5 linked regions of the Ovis aries genome follow. The main gene of each other region encodes a partner of the protein of the gene in region 2 in a complex. Links are inferred from orthologs where the notes say so. Each region holds a gene or a part of one and is shown on either strand. Other genes may lie near its edges.

Region 1 (4,313 bases), on a different chromosome or scaffold from region 2:
AGTACTTTCAACAGAGAATATAACGGTCTATTTTAATGGATTTTCAAAATTAATTGGAAAATTAATTGAAATTAATTGGAAATTAATTGAAATTAATTGGAAATTCCAAGAAACTTCACAAGTTATCTGTAAGTCTATATAAAAAATATTCATATCGACATTCAATTTTGTCAACTATACTTCAGTAAAACTGGGGAAGAATACAAATAACTAACAATATATAACATCAAAAAGCCAGGGAAAATGAATCTACAATGTTAACACTTAGGGCAGTAGTTACTGAGAGGTGGAAGCAGCCAGCAGGGAAGGAAGGAAGTGTCGGGCGTGAGGGCGATACTTGTCTCTTCTTAATGTTCACTTCAGGACAATTAAGAGAGTCAAACAGTTATGATGTGTGTTCTTTTCTGTGTATCACAATAAATAATTTTTTTAAGTTAAAAAAATTTCATATTTACCTTTAAGTGGTTGAGGGCGATTTTTTTCAGTGTTTCAGTGAGGACCATACATGAGGAGTCTGACAGAAAATGCTGGCTACCCGACTATCATGACCCCCTTTTCCTCTGCACATGGAACTCTGTTTTTACTCAGGCATCCAATGGGAATTTCTCAAGGTTCTTTGATTTTAACTGCTTGATGCTTTGCCTCAGATAAACAAGAGCTCTGAGCAAGAGAGAAAACTACAAGAGTTCAACCCAGTGTATCTTGCACATGATGACCCTGTGAAGTACCAACTTATTAATACATCGGTTCCAAGTTACAAACTGAGAAACTATAATTTGGAGTTTAATGATTCACCTAGAGTAACAGATCCCAGAATTGAGTCTTAATGTCTTCACTCAAATTTCCACTATCAGTTCAGTAACACATGCTACTTCTCCAGAGAGTAAACAATAATTTGTCTTCCTTAAAATCAGATTCAAAGACCTAATCTTACAATTTTGCTCACCTATACTAAATAAGTATGCTACATTCAGAAACATAGGGAAAGTACAGACTAAATTTTAAAAACATATGAAAACATGCGGTTCAAAATCAATATTCTACAGGTTAACACGATCATTTTTGCCGAAGTATAACGTCCAACCATAGCATGGGAAGCTGTGCTTTTTCAAATTCCCAGCTCATACTGGTGGTATTACCATGTTGTTGATTAATAAGCATCCAAGAGAAATTTTCAATTTTGGAAACTGTTATTTAGGGATATTTTTCTTTATTCTCGTGAATATTCACAATCCTGAAAGTGCAATGTATCTGTGGTGCTCAATTCAGCTCAGTGAAGCATGCAAATTACAGTTAATCATGATAGTTGTTTTACCAGTAATAATAATTACGATGATGAGATACCTCAACTGCTTTAAACAAGCTTCCTCTTTCCCTTTTGTGTTTAGAAGGGGGCAGTTCCCCATACTTATAATTGACTACAATCTCCTCCCCACTCTTGCACCTACGTACCTGATGGTTACAAAACGTAGATCAAGGAAGAAGTCACTCCTGCCTTGATTTCTTCATGTGTGAATGGAGGGAGAAGTAATAGCGGTTCTATTGCAAAGTCGCTTGAGTGTAACGGGCCTCGGGCTTTGTCCAGGACACGCAAGAGCTCCGAGCAAGGAAGAGCCGAAGGAACAGCGAGAGACAAAGTAATGAACAGTAACCCCGCCTCTGTGGGAGGCTGTCCAGCGTGAGCAAAGAAGGGTGGCGCTCACCCTCTTCAAAACTCTAAAGAGGCTACGAGAGCGTGTGCGCGCTCAGTCACTTAGTAAAAGCACGCGCCACCGGGGGACGACGCCCTCCCCGCCGTGCCCGTCGACCCTTCTTTCCCAGCTCTCCTCGAAGACGGCGCGGGAAGGCGTCTGACGGCGTCGCGAGCAGCGGCGGCCCCGGCGCCCCCGTGACCCGGGGCGGCGAAAGCTCGTAACGACACCGCAGGGAAGACCGGCCACCTCCCCTGACACCACAGCGCAAACCACGTGGCGGGCCGTCTCCACCTCAGGCAGTTATCGCGCGGGAGCCAAATCTCTGCCCGGTCCCGCCAGACCCAAACTCCCGGCGAGACGAGACGCCGCAGGGACCGCCGACGGCTGGCAGTTGGGCGCTCGACTTCCGGGAGCTCGCGGGCCACGCCCACCCTCCTACTGGCTCACCATCTGACTTCCGGGAACTCGCGGGCCACGCCCACCATCCTACCGGCTCACCGTCTGACTTCCGGGAACTCGCGGGCCACGTCCACCACCCTAAAGGCCCACCGTCTGCCTTCTGAGAACTCGCGGGCCACGCCCACCACCCCACTGGCCCACCGCCAGACCTCAGGAACGCCGCGGGCCACGCCCACCGCCCGAACTCCGGCAGCCGCGTCGCCCGCCCCACCCACCGGAAGCAGAAGCCCCGCCCCCTGCCGGAAGCCTGCCCCAGAGACTGGTCTGGGCCCGGCGGTCCCGCGCTGACGCACCGAGAGATTCGCTTTCGCTTTCGCGGGAGACTTCCTGAGGCCCCAGGCCGGGTGAGGAAGGAGGCGGCGGGGCAGCCTAGAGTTGCTCCGACGCCCGGCAGTACCTGGCCGGCGCAGGCCGGGGTGGCACGCCGGGCCCGATTAGGGGTCTCCGGGGCGGAGCCGTCGGCTGGGAGGCGGGCGGGGACCGCCCCGCCTTGCCCTGCCCTCACCGCGCCCGGCTCCGCGGGCCAGCCGTCCGTCGCGTGCTGTCCAGTGGTCGGCGCGCTCGGGCTCCTCGCGGAGTGGGCCCGCTGGGGCCCCGCGCTCCGGGGTCAGCGCTCCGGGACACCGATGCGGTGTCCGCGCCGCCGGCGCTTCGACTGAGGGAGCCCGGCCGGCGGAGGGCGTGGACTGCTCGCTCCGCCTCCGCTCCTGCCCCTGAGGAGGGTGGGGAGAGCGCCCGCCCCGCGTCTGGAAAGGTCTCCGGGCCCGTTCTGAAACCCCGGGACGCGCTCAGACTGAGGATCGTGCTCTCAGAGCGGTTTGGGAGGCCGAGAGGACAGAGGAAATGCCGAGTCACGGAAACCACTCACAGAAACCTGCCGGGCGCGGCGGGCAGGGCCGGAGACGATGGGCTGCTTCCCCGGGGGATTCTGAGCTCTGCAGGTCAGCAGCGCGGGAACCCTAGGCAGCAAGCTCCCAGGCATTTATCTCCTTCACCTGTGAAGTGGGGATAATCTCTTCTGTGGGGCTGCGGAGGAACCAGCATCATACGAGGATGGTTGGGAAGTCTGAAGCAAAATGGGAAATGGTTGCTATAGTGTTATGATGAAAAGTTGATTATATATATAGCATGATTACATACTATAAAAAGATATCTGGAGGTAATGAGATGCCACAAACTGAGAAAATATTTGCAGAAAGCATAGCTGATAAAATACTGTTACCCAAAGTATACTAGAAATGCCAGAGAAGGAAAAATGCAATTGAGAAAAGGCAAAAGATCTCAACAGACTTCTCACGATACAAATGACAAGTAAGTATATGAAAAGATGCTCAATATTATAGGATATTAGGAAACTGTGAAAAACCAATGAGATGCCACCACATATTGTCTGCCTAAAATAAATGGACTGCCAACTATTTCTCTAGCATAAACAAGTTTATTATGAAAAGAATTGCAATTTGAGGTCTGCCACCCTGGGAACTTGCATGCAAATGGAGAGGACACCTTTATGGGGGAAAAGGAAGTTGGAGAGATGTTTTAAAAGTCCACTGCTTTTCATGGGCTGAATCATTGCCGGGGAAAAAAAAAGATTTCTGCTAGAAAAGATTCTCCAGCCTTTCTATCTCCTGACTCTTTGAGATTTGTTTTTTGTGTGTTTGTTTTTTACATTTCCCCCTTTTGATCAGAATCTCTCAGAAAGCAGTGGTGATCCAAGTGTGAGATTTTTGTGTGTCAGTGACTTCGTATCTCAATGCCAGGGAGGCCCTTTCCTTTGTACAATTTCACATCCGAGGGAAAGTGTGGATTGCAAACCTATTGAGGTTCCATTTGAGTAACAAGGAGTAGCAGAACTGTGAACACTTTTTGCCTAAAGTTCACACATTTCCAGGATAACAGACAGTGGCGATCATCTGAAGTGTCGTCATCGAAAGTGTGGTGACCAACTCCAACAGGCCTGTTCTGAGTATTTTGGGAAAACTGTCTCATTAGAAGTCATCTGCTTCAATTCTGAACAGTCTACTCTCAGGTCACCAGATGACATGCAGGTCCAGTAGGGGTAGCGCTCTCTTTAAGTGTGTCACGTGAGTCCAAGAGTCAATCCCTTAGAGTCTGCTGTCACGCGAGTCGGTTAGGAGCACTTGACAGGGGCCTTTCCAG
Region 2 (3,513 bases):
TAGCAGATCCACTTCTGGAAAGTGCCTCTCTCCCTGTGCCTGCAAGCAGGCAGTCCTGCAGAACAGTTTTCACAAGGTGAATTGCACAGGACACAGGCTGTTATTCCTAGAAAGCCACCACCATGCGACAGGTGTGTTCATTGGGTTCCGTCTTCAGTCCTGCACTCCCCTCCTGATCATGCTCCCATTCTTCCTACACAAATCCAGAAAGGCCTTCGGAAGCTGCAGGAGATGGGAGGAGGCACATCCCCGGGGTTGGGAGCATCTCCCTCCTAGGGCTGCCTCCCCAGATGCTACCTGCAGGACCCTCCCCCCCCCGCCCCCCGACCACCAAGGGATCATCAGGGGATCTCTTGGTACCTGTGCAAGGTGACTCCAATGTCCTAGGAGAGAAAAGAGAGAAGTTCTCCATCACCAGTGTTGTAAGGGCTGTGCTGACTCCTGGCCTCCCTGTCCCAGAGTGTCAGCAAAAACAGGGCCCCTCTCCCCAGTTCTAATCACCAAGGTGGCAACTCAGCTGGGGCCTGACCACAACCGTACCCAAAGTCTGCTGACATCTGGGAGATGCTAATGGATACCCTAGATTCTAGGCCACCATGGGTTCCTGAGGGTGCATTGCAGGGGCCTGAGCACAAGAGGCATTATGGGTCACCAAGGACAAGTCCCACCCCAGCCCCAAGGGCCTCACCACTGGGTTGGGGAGAGCTGATGGCAGTATTGGGAGCCCCTGTCATCCTACTGGGCATGGTGGACAGAGGAAGGCCAGGCCCAGCCGCGCTCACCTTCATAAGCTCCCACTCTGGCTGGCACTGCTTGGCCTCCAGCTCCCCAATCAGCTCGTCGAGAAGGGCGATGTCCCTCGTCCCTCGGGTGCCATATGTCTCCCTAACCTGGCCGATGGTCTGGCCCAACTCCTCTAGCCAGGCCACAAAGAGCCGCTCCTGCTGCTCTAAAAACTGGCACAGCTGCTCCAACTGGTACTGGATTCTCTGCTTTTGGGTTTCAGCTTGTTTCTGGGGAACAGAAGTTAGGGAGATGTAGGGGCCTGTCTGCTCAGGGAATACCCAGAAGCCCACTTTCCAAAGGGAGAGTCCTCTCTCCTCCCCCTGATTGGGGGCAAGTCAGTCCATCTATTTGGATGCAAGTGAACTTGACTTCCAGTACTCTTGCACACTGGCCACGCTTGACTTTCTCATCACTAGAAAGTTGTGGTGGACACATGAAGTTGCTCTAGGGTAACTTTCCTTCGTCCAAGGAGGGAGAGGACCCTTCACATAGACCGTACAGAAGAAATCTCATTTTTGGCTCAGAAGGACAGGACTAAATTTCAAGTTCTTTAGAACCAAAAATGTCTCTGCACCTTTTGTTGTTAATTTTAATACGGGCACATTCCTTTATTAGCAAAACTGCTAGACACAACAAAGACTGCTAGTGGGTAGAACTCTGGTGTAAATTCCAGACAGCCCAGGGCCTCCCAGGATGCTTTATGGATGTTTGCCTGGCCCCTGTTCCCCTGCCACCTGTGGTCCCCTAGTTGACATACGATAGTGGTTCCGACACTGCCTGGTATCTTTCTGTAATTAAGGAGTAAGACTATGAACTCGATGCATGTGGAACCTCACACCTTCCCCTGTAACATCAGCAGCCTTTGCTGAATCACATGCTGGGTTTCGCATGTGGAAGAGTGTTCTCCCGGTCTTCACAGCACAGCACCGCAGACACACACCCGTGCCTCTGGTCTGCACAAGTCACTTTCCCCATCACTCACTGTCTGAGTCTAGACTATCAACAAAAAAACCAAGACTGGGATGCGGCATTTGCTGTTTCTGTGGCGTAGATGGGCTTCTCTGGTGGCTCAGACGGTAAAGAATCTGCAGTGCAGGAGACCTGGGTTTGTTCCCTGGATTAGGAAGATCCCCTGGAGGAGGGCATGGCAACCCACTCCAGTATTCTTGCCTGGAGAATCCCCATGGATAGAGGAGCCTGGCTGGTTACAGTCCATGGGGTTGCAAAGAGTCAGACACGACGGAGCAACTAAGCACTAAACATGTGGGGGTAGATACTCCCACATGTGTCTAACTTGAGACTTGTGGCCAGTCTCAAGCTTCCAATGTGATGTTCCTAAACATGGAATCTGGGACACCTTTTGTTGTTGATGGCAATAATGTGGACTTTTTTTTTTTAAGAGGACAGGTCAACCATCCTGTTCAATGGCCTATATTCTAAAATTCTCTGATAATTTTGCTCATGATTAAATTCAGGAGAAACATGCGGTGGGGGTGAGATTGCCATAGACCTAATGCCGCGCTCTTTCTAGCCCATCCCATTGGGAGGCAAAGACTATCCAGTTTGCCATCATCAGGATAGGGATTCTATGGTTGGTAATTGGTTAAGGAGGGGTCTGCCAGTCACTACTGTAAATATATATTATTTCCTTTATAATTACTAAGTAATTTGGGGAGTGGTACTTTGAGAGTGTGTAAGTATGCTATTCTCTGCCGGTTTTTTCCTAAAAAATTTAGCTGCTGTTGCTGATCCCTGTCAGTGTCAACTGTATAGTGGAAATATTCTAATTTAATTATTCTTCTTCTGTACTTGTTTTAGCTGGCTTTCTGCTGTAAAAAGGCGCTTTCCCTACCCTCTTTTCTATGATTAAAAAAATTTTTTTTCATTATTTGAAGAGGAGGAGGTGAAGGCCTGAAAACAGCATTTCCTTTTCATAAGGGCCCATTGTCACTGTGCCTGAAGGGAAGGCTGGACACTTTTCTCTCCCTGGGTTTCCCTGAGCAGCCCAGGAGCCCAGTTCCTGCCTCACCATCCTCCACCCCACTGGGAGCACCCCTGACCTCTGCTCCACCCACAGGTTCAAGCCACCTGGGGTTATAGGAAAGGGTTTTCATTTGACTACCATTCAGCTGGCTCAGAGGTTAAAGCATCTGCCTCCAATGCGGGAGACCTGGGTTCGATCCCTGGGTCGGGAATATCCCCTGGAGAAGGAAATGGTAACCCACTCCAGTATTCTTGCCTGGAGAATCCCATGGACAGAGAAGCCTGGTAGGCTACAGTCCACAGGGTCGCAAAGAGTCGGACATGACTGAGTGACTTAACTTTCTTTTTTTCAGCAGTTTCCCAAAAGTCAGACACCTGGACAGCTGCCACCCACCTCCCTCTCATCCTGCCCTTTGTTTTCTTTGCCTGTCTCTTACTGCCGTATGGTGTGTCCTGACAAGTTTGGAACTCAGGGAGATGAAATCCAACCAACAGAAATGCATCAGACAAATCAAGGCTCTGTGGGTTAGTTAGGCACCTTTGCACGAAGGGAAAACAGGAGCAACTAAAGCATCCAAGAGTCTGAACAACAGCTTAACAGGAAGGCTACTAAGTGGTACTTGTTGGAATCTGGGGTGTTACAGAACCACAGTTTTAAAAGAAAATGTCCACTTTAACCATTTGAATTTTAAAAATAAATATGGCTTTTGTAAAAAAAAAAAACAGCAATTATAAAAACAACAT
Region 3 (3,513 bases), on a different chromosome or scaffold from region 2:
AAACCCTGGAAACCCACGCTAACTGTTCTGCCGATCCACCTGCTCTTCAATTCAGAGCCTAAAGTAATCATTCCCAGTCTGCCGGTGTCTCCTCTGTCTGGCTAGGATTTACCTGTGTGCATAGTGGGGAGGGGGTGGGAAGAGCGGTAGCAGAGGGTGGGGGTTAAGGGTCATGTTTCCATGTCCTCTACCAGGCTCCACAGCTCCCTGCTACCTCCCTCCAATGCCTTCTGCTGATCCCTCAACTCTGGATTCCCTGGCTGGATCCAGGGGGCCCCAGGACATCCGGATGGAGAAGTCTGTGCTCAGGCGAGTTCAGATGGGACATGGCAATGAGATGCGACTTCACAGCAACCCAGCCAAGGGCTCTGCCTGCGGCGCCTTTGACAGCCCCCCAGGTAATGAGACAATGGGCTGCCATCCTGCCCCCACCCCACCCCACCTGGCCTCCTCAATACATGGGACTTGAGCCAGTCCTTGTGGTGAGAGAGGCATTATGGGAAATTCTTTCCATCCCACCAAGAGGCTGTCCACAGAGTAGAGCAAGGGGGTCTGGCAGAGTTAACACAAGGATTCCCATTCCTGCTACTCACCTAGGAAACCTCGATGTCCTCATCTCTACAATGGGCAGGGATCATTTCCTGGGCCAGATGAAGCAGAGACAAAGGAGATGGCTGGGCTGGAAAGGCATCTAAGGAGCCACCTAGGTGCTGTTGACCAGAGGGCCGAGACGATGTCCTCGCTGGCACTGGGCATCCAGAGACAGGCTGGGGGAGATGCAGCAGAGAGGCCTGGGAGAGGAGGAGCCCCAGGGATGCCAGGGCACAAGTTTCCAGAAGAGAAGAGGCTTTAAGATCAAGGGAGGGTCACGGGGTCTGGCAGCAAGGGGTCTGCGGTGAGCTGAGGGGCCAGAAGGAGCGAGGGCAGTGGACAAAGGTGAGACAGAGCATGTCCAGCTCTCTTTTGAAGTTTGGCAGAGGAGGCAGGAGCAAGATGGCAGGGGCTGGGGACTGGGCCGGGGGCCATGTGAAGATTTTAACTGAAGATGGAGATGGTGTTCCAGAGCTGCCAGAAGGCAGGCAGCAGAGGGGCAGGGACAGGGGTCCACAGGGGCAGTGGCTGAGTGCCTGGGGAGGCACAGGGGACCAGGTCAGTGGGGACAGGCAGCAGGAGGGGAGCTCAAGCTGGCAGACCCAGGGGCCGAGAGAGCTGGCAGCCCAGGCATGTACATACAGAGTCACCACGTGAGGCCACGTGTCTGCCAATGACAGAGCATGGCATGGACCACTGCAGGGAGGCTCCAGGAGGACGGTCAGCTGTGGAGGATCTGGGAGCCATGTTGGAGGTCAGGCCTGCTGTCCAGCTGCTCACACCCCCTCCCCAAATCCCTTTCTATGACCAACCTGCAGCCTCTGTCCTGGGTACCAGCCCAGAAGCTTCCATCGAAATTCAAATCCCTGAACCAGGACCTCAGTCCGAAGGGGTCACGTCCCAGAGAATCCACATTCGCTCCTGCTTCCTCGAGGACACCACCGTCGGCAACAGCAACAGGATGATGGTCCACCCGGGGGCAGCTGATGTCAAGGGAGTCCAAAGGCCTAGGGAAACAGGAGGGGATGCAGGTGAGCCTGGGGCAGGGCGGGGGCCCCATGCTCTCTCTCTCATTCACTCAACAGTCCTGAATCTCCCGTTTCCTGGAGTCGGGGAGGCAGGAGAGTCATGGCAGAAGTGGAGAACACCTAACCCATCACTCAGCTGGGAGCCTCTGCTTCCCCATCTATCAGTTGAGGGTTAGAGGAGCCCATGGCTCCTGGGCTGTGGGGAGGATTGGATGCGCTCCACTCACTGCTGCCGCACCTGGATCAGACCAGTGACACGTTTGTGGGGCCTGGTGCAGCAAGAAAAAGCAAGGCTCCTTGTTCAAAATTTAGGAAGAATTTCAAGACAAAGACCGGAAAGCAGTAAGCCGAACACAGGCCCATCTGAAGGGCCTGTGTGACCACCCAAGCCACATGCCATGAGGCTGGGCTGCCTTGGAACCTTCTGGAACATGATCATTCCTCTACTCTTAGTCACCCAGCTCACTAATTCTTCCCCACGAATAATGCTGTAGCCATCTTACGCTTCTCCCACGTCTTCAGTTGTTAGGAAGAAGTCATTGATTCATTCATTCATTCACCCACTTTGGCCCCACTCCTGCACAAAAACCCTCCCCGTCCTTGGAAATACAGCTAAGAGCACAAAGAGACAAATACACCCCACTCATGAGATAAGAGTCCAGTAGCAAGTAGAGACTAGCCTTTTGAGACCAGCACTAAAAAGAACTCTAAAACGGGAGGCGGCAGGTAGGCAGCAGTGTGACCTAGTAGATGTGCCTTAGCCAGGCCGACAGAGACCCTCAGGATGAGGTGGCATCTGTGCCCAGGCCTGTAGGAAGGGAGGAACCAGACAAGCATAGATGTGGGAAGAGCACTGCAGGCAGAGGGAACAGCAAGTGCAAAGGCCCTGAGATGGGAACAAAGTCCAGGACCACACACATGAGCCCAGGGAGCAGAGGGGTGGGATCCAGTGGGCAAGGCTGGGTCTCTCCCTGATGGGAAGCCCAGGAAAAAGGCCTGGGTCTTATCTGAAGTGAGCTGGGGAGGCCTGGGGGGCTGGAGCAGGGGGACAGCATGATGTGGGGCACAATTTAAAAGTCTGACCAAAGATAACCTGAAATCAAAGGCAGGGAGGAAGTGGGAGCACTGGTCTGGGGGAGAAAGGATAGGGCTTTGTAGATGGGGACGTGAGGCCATCCACCCGTGAAGCCTGCACCCCAGGGAGCGGCTTCAGCAACCATGAGCCAAGTCACCTCGGTTGTTCAGTTGTTCGTGGGGAGATGGCTGACGTGTTCCTGGGGTCCCTTCTCTTCCCCAGAGCCTCCCCACCGAGATGCACCATCCAGAAGCGAGGTCCCTCCTGTTGGCAGTCGGGCTGACCCCGTCAGCGCTGAGACGCTCATCTCAGAAAACCTGGCAGCTACGACCCTTGAGAGGCATGACTCCGAAAACACAGAAGACACCTGCTGAGTGATGGACCCGAAGAGCCGGTGTCCCCAGAGGGGTGGGACTCAGGGCAAACAGCCTGCAGGCAGACACACAGAAAGAGCCTGGGGGCGGGTGAGCTCTCTGCTGCCATGTTATTTCTTACCTTCTCGCCTCCGGACGCGTGGCCAGTGTGGGTCAGCATTTGGGCTGGACCCGGCACGGTGTGAGGGCTGTGTCGAGGCAGTCTGAGTGCGGCTTGGAATAGAGTTTCCAGAAAGGAGTGAGTTTATTAAGAACAAAGGCCGGAAGTAAAGTGGGCACTGCAATCACGGTGGGCCGTCAGGTCCCAACAGGCCTGAGCAGCTGCTGTCCCCTCCCTATGTTGTGGCCAGGTCTGTCCTGCTCTGTCCGGGTCTGGTCTCTTGATGGCTGCTCTGCTTCCTGTCACCAGGCTCAGTTCCTCCGGCCACCCCTGCCCCTACCATCT
Region 4 (3,513 bases), on a different chromosome or scaffold from region 2:
CCAAACATTTTCTACCTGTAAGACTAGGTTCTATTGGCAAAAAAACAAAAACAATCTCCAAGGCATAGTATGATAAAATTATATTTTATTCTGTTAAAAATATTTATTACATTACTAATTATTAATTACTAAAGATTTAAAGTGAATTGAACATATAAAGAAAGAGCAAACATATAAAAGGCATACTGCATTTTTAGTAAAAAAGCAAATCATGTTCAGCACTGCAGAAGCATGTATATAAAAACTTTTCAGTTTGGAAAGAGTCTTTAAAAAACAAAATCATTTGGTATTTTTAAAATCTTTAATATATGAATTTTAAAATTTTTTTATTTTACAAAATATTGCAAATTAGTATAAAGGACAGCTTGGGAAAAGATCTACTGGAAGTATAAAACGAGTTAATATTAACATCATTTCTCTTAAAAGTATGTTGAATGCCGCATTTATGAATAATTCTTTTAAAAAAGGAAAATAATCTCTAAGCTTTTGAAACTGAAGTCTAAAGAGTGGTGGTTTTCACCACTGAAAATCAGAGTCTGCTCATGGCTAAGGAGAGGAGGGTCACATGTTTCCAGGACAGCTTATCATACACATCAGTAGCAATCAGGCTGGATGTGGGAACTTTATACCCTGAACCTCAATAGTCGAGGGGATTTTTCAGCTAGGTCAGATCACAAAAATCTCCCTCCATGATCTTTGATATTTCTTTTAAACTTACTGTGTTTTTTGTGTTTATTTTAGTTCATTTTTAAACCTTTTCATCAAATTAAAAATACAATTGAAATCAAGACCACAGCTATGACTGTTATTGTCTACAAAGCCAGAGATTTAGGCTTGAATTTGCATAAAAATTATGTTGTCCTGACTCTCATGATATGCCAGCTATTTGAAAATAAAAAGAAGAAGAAAGAGAATAAAGTAGCAGCATTTTAACTATTGTTCAGTTGCATAACTATTGTCTAGTTATACAACTAAACAATAGCATCAATTAAGAGGAAAGAAGAGTTTTTTTCGCAGTGTGAAAGTAGGTTGCGGCATCTGTTTGCCCATGTTTTGCTTGTCATCCTTTTTGCTTACTTCGAAGTTCACCTTGGTTAGGATGGTCAGAATGTCTTCACCCCTGAAAAATGTAACAGAACCTTGTTATTACATATCTATGGGAGGAAATCACTATCATCTACTGTGGTTAATGATAATTATTTCCCTCAAAACATCAGGCATTTGAATTCATAAGGTGTTAAACCAAGGCCTACCCCAGCTTTCTCGGTAAAGAAGTTCTCAGAGCTTCATAACTTACCTTTGGTTTATTTGGGATCTTAAGACCATCCGAAACCTCAGTGTCAACACTGGATTTGGTTTCTTTCCCTCCTGACCTATTCGTACCTTACTCACGCATTGGAGAAGGAAACGGCAACCCACTCCAGTGTTCTTGCCTGGAGAATCCCAGAGACAACGGAGCCTGTTGGGCTGCCGTCTTTGGGGTTGCACAGAGTTGGACATGACTGAAGCGACTTAGCAGCAGCAGCAGCAACTCCAAGTACTATGTCACTTACCCACTAATCTCCCCAAGGCCCCTCAACATCCTCTGCCTCAAATTGGCATTGCTTCTGTGGATTCGTTGATGGCCCCATCAAACTTGAAGCAAGTAGAAATAGAATGTCTCCTGCAGCAACTCCACCCCTTTCTCACCAGCACCTCTTATCAGTTTAGTTGGGCAACCTGTTCATTCACCTCTGTAGCTAGCTCCCTGGAACCTTGCAGGTTCATTCACTGTCTAAGTTGCAAAATGAAAATATAGCCTAGATGTTATGGTTCCCTCTCAGTCCTTTCTCTGCCATGGACAATTCTTGCTCTTCACACACTTAAAACATAATAAGACACAAAACTAGAAGCAACTTGCAGAGGAGTTCTTGCTATTTATTCGCTGGTTGTATGTCCATTAGGTGAACTAAGCCATACAAAACTATCATTTAACTATGGAAACATAAGATAATAAATGAGAAAAAGATATTTTCCCACATGTTGTGAGCTTCAAAGCAGTCAAATTATTGGCAATATAAAAGGTTTCTACTCTTGGCTCTTAACTCCCACAAAAGGGTTTGAGGTTGGTGAGCTATTATAGAAGTCTTCCCTGGTGGCTCAGATGGTTTGAAAAAAGAAAAATCCACCTGCAATGCAGGAGACCTGGGTTCGCTCCCGAGTTCGGAAGATACCCTGGAGGAGGAAATAGCAACCCACTCTAGTACTCTTGCCTGGGAAATTGCATGGACAAAGGAGCCTGGTGGGCTACAGTCTATGGGGTCATAAAGAGTCAGACACAACTGAGCAACTAACACTTTCACTTTTGACAGAGTAAGAGAATGTTAAACATTGAAATTCCAAACTTGTTGAGTGGGTTCAGTCATGTTTCTGCCTAAAAACAGAGCTGTACTATATGATTTTGCCATCTCTCCAGCTCTATGATATACTGATGGCCCTTTGTGCTAAATAAAAGAAAATCCTCTGTAAGCATCTCAGGTTCTTCCATCTGTGAACTAAAGATCTTAACACTTGCTGTCTCTTTCACTCTGCAACTGACCTGAGAATCAGCTACGTGATCCACAACTAGACATTTGGAGATGAATGTAGGATTGAATAAGCAAAAATTACCTAGGACATCTTTCTCTCAGGTTCTGACAAAGCGATTGGATATACCAGGTCCCCTTCACGATGCTTCGGTAGGAAACACAGTTGTTCACAGTGGCCATCCCCAGCAGAAAGTCAGCCTCATCTGGGATATATCTCTTCTGAGGTGACGAATCCGCTTCTAAATAGGCTTCCCTCTGTTCTGAGTCGGTCTCAACAGCTATTCCTCTCTGGTACTTATCCCCTTGACAAGCCTGAATAAAAAAGATTTTGGGTTTGCCGACAAGGGAAGGGCATTTTGATCCAGTGAAGTAGGAGGTCAGCTCATAGATGGGGGCTTCTTGCCCATCGGAGCCATAGATGGTGCCCTTGTTTCCATGGGTAAGGATGCAGCAGATGAAGCAGTCTTTGGTTTTGTGGTCCTTCTTCTGGTAGGATTTCAGAACCTCACAGATTCCCTTTGCTGTTTGGTCTCTGTAGTGCACTATCTCAAAATGAAGTTCACGAAAGGTCTTGTCCAAAGCCTCTGAAAAGTGAAACAAGAAAAATCATATTGGGCCTCCCTGGTGGTCCAGTGGTTAAGAATCTGCCTGCCAGTGCAGAGGGTATGGGTTAGATCCTGGTCCAGGAAAGTTCCACATTCCTTGGAGCAACTAAGCCTGGGGCATAGCAACAACTGAAGCCTGCATACTCTAGTGCCCATGCTCTGCAAGAAGAGAAGCCACCACAATGAGATACCTACACACCAGAGAGAATAGCCCCCACTCACTGCAACTAGAGAAAGCCCACACACAGCAATGAAGACCCAGTGCAGCCATAAATAAATAAGTTTATTGAAAACAAAAGAAAGAAAAGTCAATAGTATACGGCAGTAATTCCTAGACCACA
Region 5 (4,257 bases), on a different chromosome or scaffold from region 2:
TCTTAGGTCCTGAACTAGACGTTTTTGAGGAACTTCCAGACTTGCCTTTATATTCCGTGAGATACCACCGTATCACCATAAGACTTCAGATTAATTCTGTCGACTGCGCAGGTACGTGAAGAGACCCCAAACCAGAAATAAACCCAACCTCCTAGCTCCTCTCTGTTGACTATGGAGCACCACCTGGGATGGTTAGCATCTCAGTGAAGCCTCAAAAAGTTTGGGTTGTTCATTTATTAATCCAATTCAACAAATATTTATTGGATACCTACCTTGTACCAGCTTTTAAAGAGACTACAATTTAAGAATTCCCTAAATAGGTCAAAAATAGCATGCACTGACTCCATCAGAATTCAAGATGTGTATCCTGGAGTTCCAGTTTCTGGAGGAACCACAGTTAACTGCTGGCCACTTTTGCTCCAGCTAGAGGAGTCCATGGACCACTGGACAGGATGGAAAGTTCCACAAGGTGAGCACCTTCCAGGGAGTCTTGCCCCATGACCCACAGGGTTGAGTCTCCCCATGAAGGACTGAGTGCCTAAGGCTGGCCGTATCTAATTCCATAACCTTCAGCTATGGTCAGGCCTTGGGCAGGTAAAATATGAACACCTTTTGTCAACCCTGAATCCTTAAGTCTCCCCAAGCTCCTGAGTTCTCCAAGACCCTTGTCCAGAGCATGTTTGTCAGGAAGATTTATTAATATTAACCAGAGAATTTGCAATGGAGGGTGGGGAGAGAGGGCAGAGAGGCTCTGCGGTGTCTCCACTGCCGTGTACACCACAGTATCAGCAACTCTCTGGTGGGCCAATTCACCTAGCTGACCACAGCACCCTGGGAGAGGTCTGTATTCGGAAAGAATAGAGCCCAGTGGACAAGCCACACCTTCCCCCGTCACCTTCCCCACCAGCTGACGTCTTTGTGAAAACGGCAAAGCTTCACGGTTCAGAGCCAGGCTCTGACGTCAGTTCCATGTCAGCTTGGGCCAGGTGCTTATACGCTCAGTGGTTTCTCACCTATAAAGAAGTAACAAAAGCAGTACCTATCCCCTTGGGTTGATGTGAGGATTAAGTGAGCTAATGGCATGTGGTGAGCTTTAGAGAAGTGTTAACTATGATCTTAGGGCAGCTGTGGGAGAACAGAGTCCTAGGACCATGACATCCTACTCAGCGCCACCGCCCGCACTCCCCCCGCCCCCCGCCAACCCTCCGCTCCCCGAACCCCGCCGCGGTATCCCAAGCTTGGCGCTGGAGCTGGGAATCCTGTGGAAGAAGGGAGAGAGGCCAGCGGTAGGAGGTGGTTGCGGGTTCCTGGAGGGTGAGGATACCCAGCGACAACCAGACCTGACCTGACACCTTGGGAGCAGCACTAGTTTCTGTTCTGCACCCTGCCCTGTGCCCTTCCCCGCCCCCGGGGCGGGACTGTAGAGGCATCAATTAAAGAAGGAAGTGGATCGGGCAGAGAGCACAACCCCGCGAAGCGGGAAGCGGAACCGTGAAGGAGCCTGGAGGTTGATTCCTCTCCCCGCCCCCAACCCCTCTTTCATCCGTGGGGGCTCGCAACTTCCAGAAGCTTCTCTCATCTTCCAGCCTGATGTCTGGCTCTGCGTTATGGTGAGTGGAGACTGAGATATGGATGCGCCTCGTGCCAAGACCAGGGCACAGTGCGTCTCACGGGAGGGGCTGGGGCTCGAACTGACAGCGCTGAGCCGAGTCACGGAGGTGGGCGCGGGGGGCGGTTAGAGGGGTGGGCCTCGGAGGGGAGTAGGGAGGCCTTGGGCCCGCGGCCGGCTGGTTACGTGGCCCCCCTCTCTCAGGCCCAGCGGTGCCTCAGCCCCGCTGGTGCCCATCGAGGAACTGGAGAACCCGGAGTTAATAGGCAAGGGCGGATTTGGCTCTGTCTTCCGGGCACATCACAGGAGTTGGGGCGTAGAAGTGGCGGTCAAGATCGTGAACTCGTGAGTGACCCGAGGTGGGGTCTGGTCCAGGAGGCTGGGCCGGGGAGGAGGGGCCGCTGTGCGGGGCGGGGCCTGGGCGGCGGGGAGGGTCGCTCGGGCGCAGAGCTGACGGCACCTCTCCCCTGAGAGCAGGAGGGCCATATCCAGGGAGGTGAAGGCCATGTCCAGTCTGCATAACAAGCATGTGCTGCTCCTGCTGGGGGTCACCGAGAAGCTGGAGTGGGAGTACGTGTCTGGGCCGGCTCTGGTGACTCCGTTCATGGAGAACGGCTCCCTGGCGGAGCTGCTACAGCCCCACTGCCCTCGGCCCTGGCCGCTCCTCTGCCGCCTGCTGCAGGAGCTGGTGCTCGGGATGTGCTACCTGCACAGCCAGAACCCAGTGCTTCTCCACCGGGACCTCAAGCCCTCCAACGTCCTGCTAGACTCAGAGCTGCACGCCAAGGTCAGCCCACCCTCACCCAGCCCATCTTCTGGACCAGGTCCTGCCCCAGAGCTGCTCCAACCCCATCCACGGGACATAGGACCCGCATCTGCTGCAGCCCTGTCTCCTGAATACCCTCAGCATCTCCCTCTGGACACAGGGCTGCCCAAGTGTCAAGGCCTAGCCTGGAGCTCTGGCCCCTGCCACACCAGGTGATGGAGGCCTTGACCATCACCTGACCATCACCTGACTTACCCTGGTCAGTTCCACAGGCCCACCCCACGGGCCTCCAAAGACCCGTAGCTGATCTATCCCAGGAGACTCAGACCTCAACCTGGTGCCATGGAGAGGGGACCCAGGCCTCCAGCCAGGGGCCCCACTGGTCCTACCCTTCCCCTAACCCTCCATACAGTCTTTGCAAGGCTGGGCCTGCACTTTTGGGGGGAGAGGAGTAAGGAAAGGGTTCTGGGAGTTTCTTGGACCTGCCCATTCCCTATCTCCTTCTTATCTCCCTTTTGTTCCATCCCCTATCTCCTCGTTCTTATCTCCCTTTTGCAGGTGGCAGATTTTGGCCTGTCCACATTTCAGGGAGGCTCACAGTCAGGGGCAGGATCTTGGGAGTCAGGGTGCACCCCAGCCTACCTGGCCCCAGAACTGTTGGCTAATATAAACCAGAAGGCCTCCAGGGCCAGTGATGTCTACAGGTAAGGCACCCACTCCAAACATATATCCAAACATATATCCCCAATTTCTACACCTGCCTGGGTCCTTCAAAGGGATGCTGTATGGAAAGGAATCTTGCCAGCAGTTGAGTCAGGCCTCAGCTTTGTGTCTACTGCAGCTTTGGGATCCTAACATGGGCAGTGCTAGCCGGAAGAGAAGCTGAGAGTAAGACAGACTCTGGGATCCTTCACCTCAGGTGCCCCCCTCCTCTAAGCCCCCAGTCTCCCAACCCCAAGCCCTCTTCCTCCTGTTTACCTGCTCAGACTGCCCCACTCCCTCCTCACATCTCCTACACTCCCCAGCCCTTTCCGTGATGGGGTAGCCTTCATACTCTGAATGCCTTCTCTTCACACCCCTACCCCCACCCTAGTAGTGCCCCAGACGTTGTTGGTGCGGGAAGCAGTGTGTGAGAGGCGGATCCGGCCCCCGCTGACTGAGCTGCCCCCGTCTGGGCCTGAGACTCCTGGCTTGGAAGAGCTGGCAGATCTGATGCAGAGGTGCTGGAGCCATGAGCCCCAGAAGAGGCCTTCCTTCCAAGGTGTGCTGGCCATCCGGCTGGCAGCTGAGACAGGCCTGAATTTGTCAGCAGGGGCTTCTCCCCCGGAAAAGAAATTTTGTTGACCTGCCACCCACTCTGCCTTCTCTCTAGAATGCCGAATAAACACCCAGAAAGCCCTTGATCTGGTAAATAAAGGAGATGCGCCTGGTAGAAAGATGAATGCCGCAGTCTACGTGGTGAGTGCTCACCCCCACCCAGGAGCTGGGCAGGATGGCAAACGCGGCCCCCTTGGCCACTCAGTGACCCCCCACTGACCACCCTTCTCTAAGCTTTGACCATGGTCCCCTCTCTCCTCACCCCATCCCTGAGTTCCCAGGCAACAGATATGGACCCAACTCCCTTGGGTTTACTCCGGCTCTCCCACCTCCATGCCCAGCCAGCTCCCCATCCCTACAGGTGAAGGAGTTCCTTTCTGAGTACAGGGGCAGCAACAGCCCAGGCCTGGAAAGGACAGAAATAGACAGTCCTAAGGAAACCACAGGAAGCCATGATTCCCTGGGCTCTGAAATGATGAAGCTGAATCTGGAGGGGCGCCCCAGCTCTGTTCCTGAAAAATGTACAAACCTTCTTGAGAACATCAGGGTCCCGAGAGAGCAGGTT

What was found.
Region 1: MEFV (region 2) and RIPK1 share a complex: the UniProt entries of both Homo sapiens proteins name them as parts of the AIM2 PANoptosome complex. The link is inferred for Ovis aries from reciprocal best matches to the Homo sapiens genes MEFV and RIPK1.
Region 3: MEFV (region 2) and ZBP1 share a complex: the UniProt entries of both Homo sapiens proteins name them as parts of the AIM2 PANoptosome complex. The link is inferred for Ovis aries from reciprocal best matches to the Homo sapiens genes MEFV and ZBP1.
Region 4: MEFV (region 2) and CASP8 share a complex: the UniProt entries of both Homo sapiens proteins name them as parts of the AIM2 PANoptosome complex. The link is inferred for Ovis aries from reciprocal best matches to the Homo sapiens genes MEFV and CASP8.
Region 5: MEFV (region 2) and RIPK3 share a complex: the UniProt entries of both Homo sapiens proteins name them as parts of the AIM2 PANoptosome complex. The link is inferred for Ovis aries from reciprocal best matches to the Homo sapiens genes MEFV and RIPK3.

The regions. Positions count from the first base shown.
Region 1 is NC_056073.1:49,697,678-49,701,990, forward strand, and holds the start of RIPK1 (receptor-interacting serine/threonine-protein kinase 1), read right to left. Parts: upstream 2,811-4,313; 5' UTR 2,551-2,810; exon of another isoform or gene 2,380-2,550; intron 2,103-2,379; exon of another isoform or gene 1,453-2,102; intron 718-1,452; exon of another isoform or gene 456-717; intron 1-455. UniProt on the Homo sapiens protein: Serine-threonine kinase which is a key regulator of TNF-mediated apoptosis, necroptosis and inflammatory pathways.
Region 2 is NC_056077.1:3,232,479-3,235,991, forward strand, and holds part of MEFV (pyrin), read right to left. Parts: intron 1,014-3,513; coding exon 783-1,013; intron 384-782; coding exon 361-383; intron 1-360. UniProt on the Homo sapiens protein: Involved in the regulation of innate immunity and the inflammatory response in response to IFNG/IFN-gamma.
Region 3 is NC_056066.1:58,234,215-58,237,727, forward strand, and holds part of ZBP1 (Z-DNA-binding protein 1), read left to right. Parts: intron 1-194; coding exon 195-398; intron 399-593; exon of another isoform or gene 594-791; intron 792-1,233; exon of another isoform or gene 1,234-1,327; intron 1,328-1,403; exon of another isoform or gene 1,404-1,409; coding exon 1,410-1,622; exon of another isoform or gene 1,623-2,916; coding exon 2,917-3,068; 3' UTR 3,069-3,513.
Region 4 is NC_056055.1:203,637,555-203,641,067, reverse strand, and holds the end of CASP8 (caspase-8), read right to left. Parts: intron 3,152-3,513; coding exon 2,650-3,151; intron 1,121-2,649; coding exon 985-1,120; 3' UTR 66-984; downstream 1-65. UniProt on the Homo sapiens protein: Thiol protease that plays a key role in programmed cell death by acting as a molecular switch for apoptosis, necroptosis and pyroptosis, and is required to prevent tissue damage during embryonic development and adulthood.
Region 5 is NC_056060.1:20,648,037-20,652,293, forward strand, and holds the start of RIPK3 (receptor-interacting serine/threonine-protein kinase 3), read left to right. Parts: upstream 1-1,456; 5' UTR 1,457-1,590; coding exon 1,591-1,610; intron 1,611-1,813; coding exon 1,814-1,954; intron 1,955-2,086; coding exon 2,087-2,396; intron 2,397-2,433; exon of another isoform or gene 2,434-2,717; coding exon of another isoform or gene 2,718-2,933; coding exon 2,934-3,079; intron 3,080-3,216; coding exon 3,217-3,263; intron 3,264-3,468; coding exon 3,469-3,636; intron 3,637-3,747; coding exon 3,748-3,833; intron 3,834-4,053; coding exon 4,054-4,257. UniProt on the Homo sapiens protein: Serine/threonine-protein kinase that activates necroptosis and apoptosis, two parallel forms of cell death. Necroptosis, a programmed cell death process in response to death-inducing TNF-alpha family members, is triggered by RIPK3 following activation by ZBP1.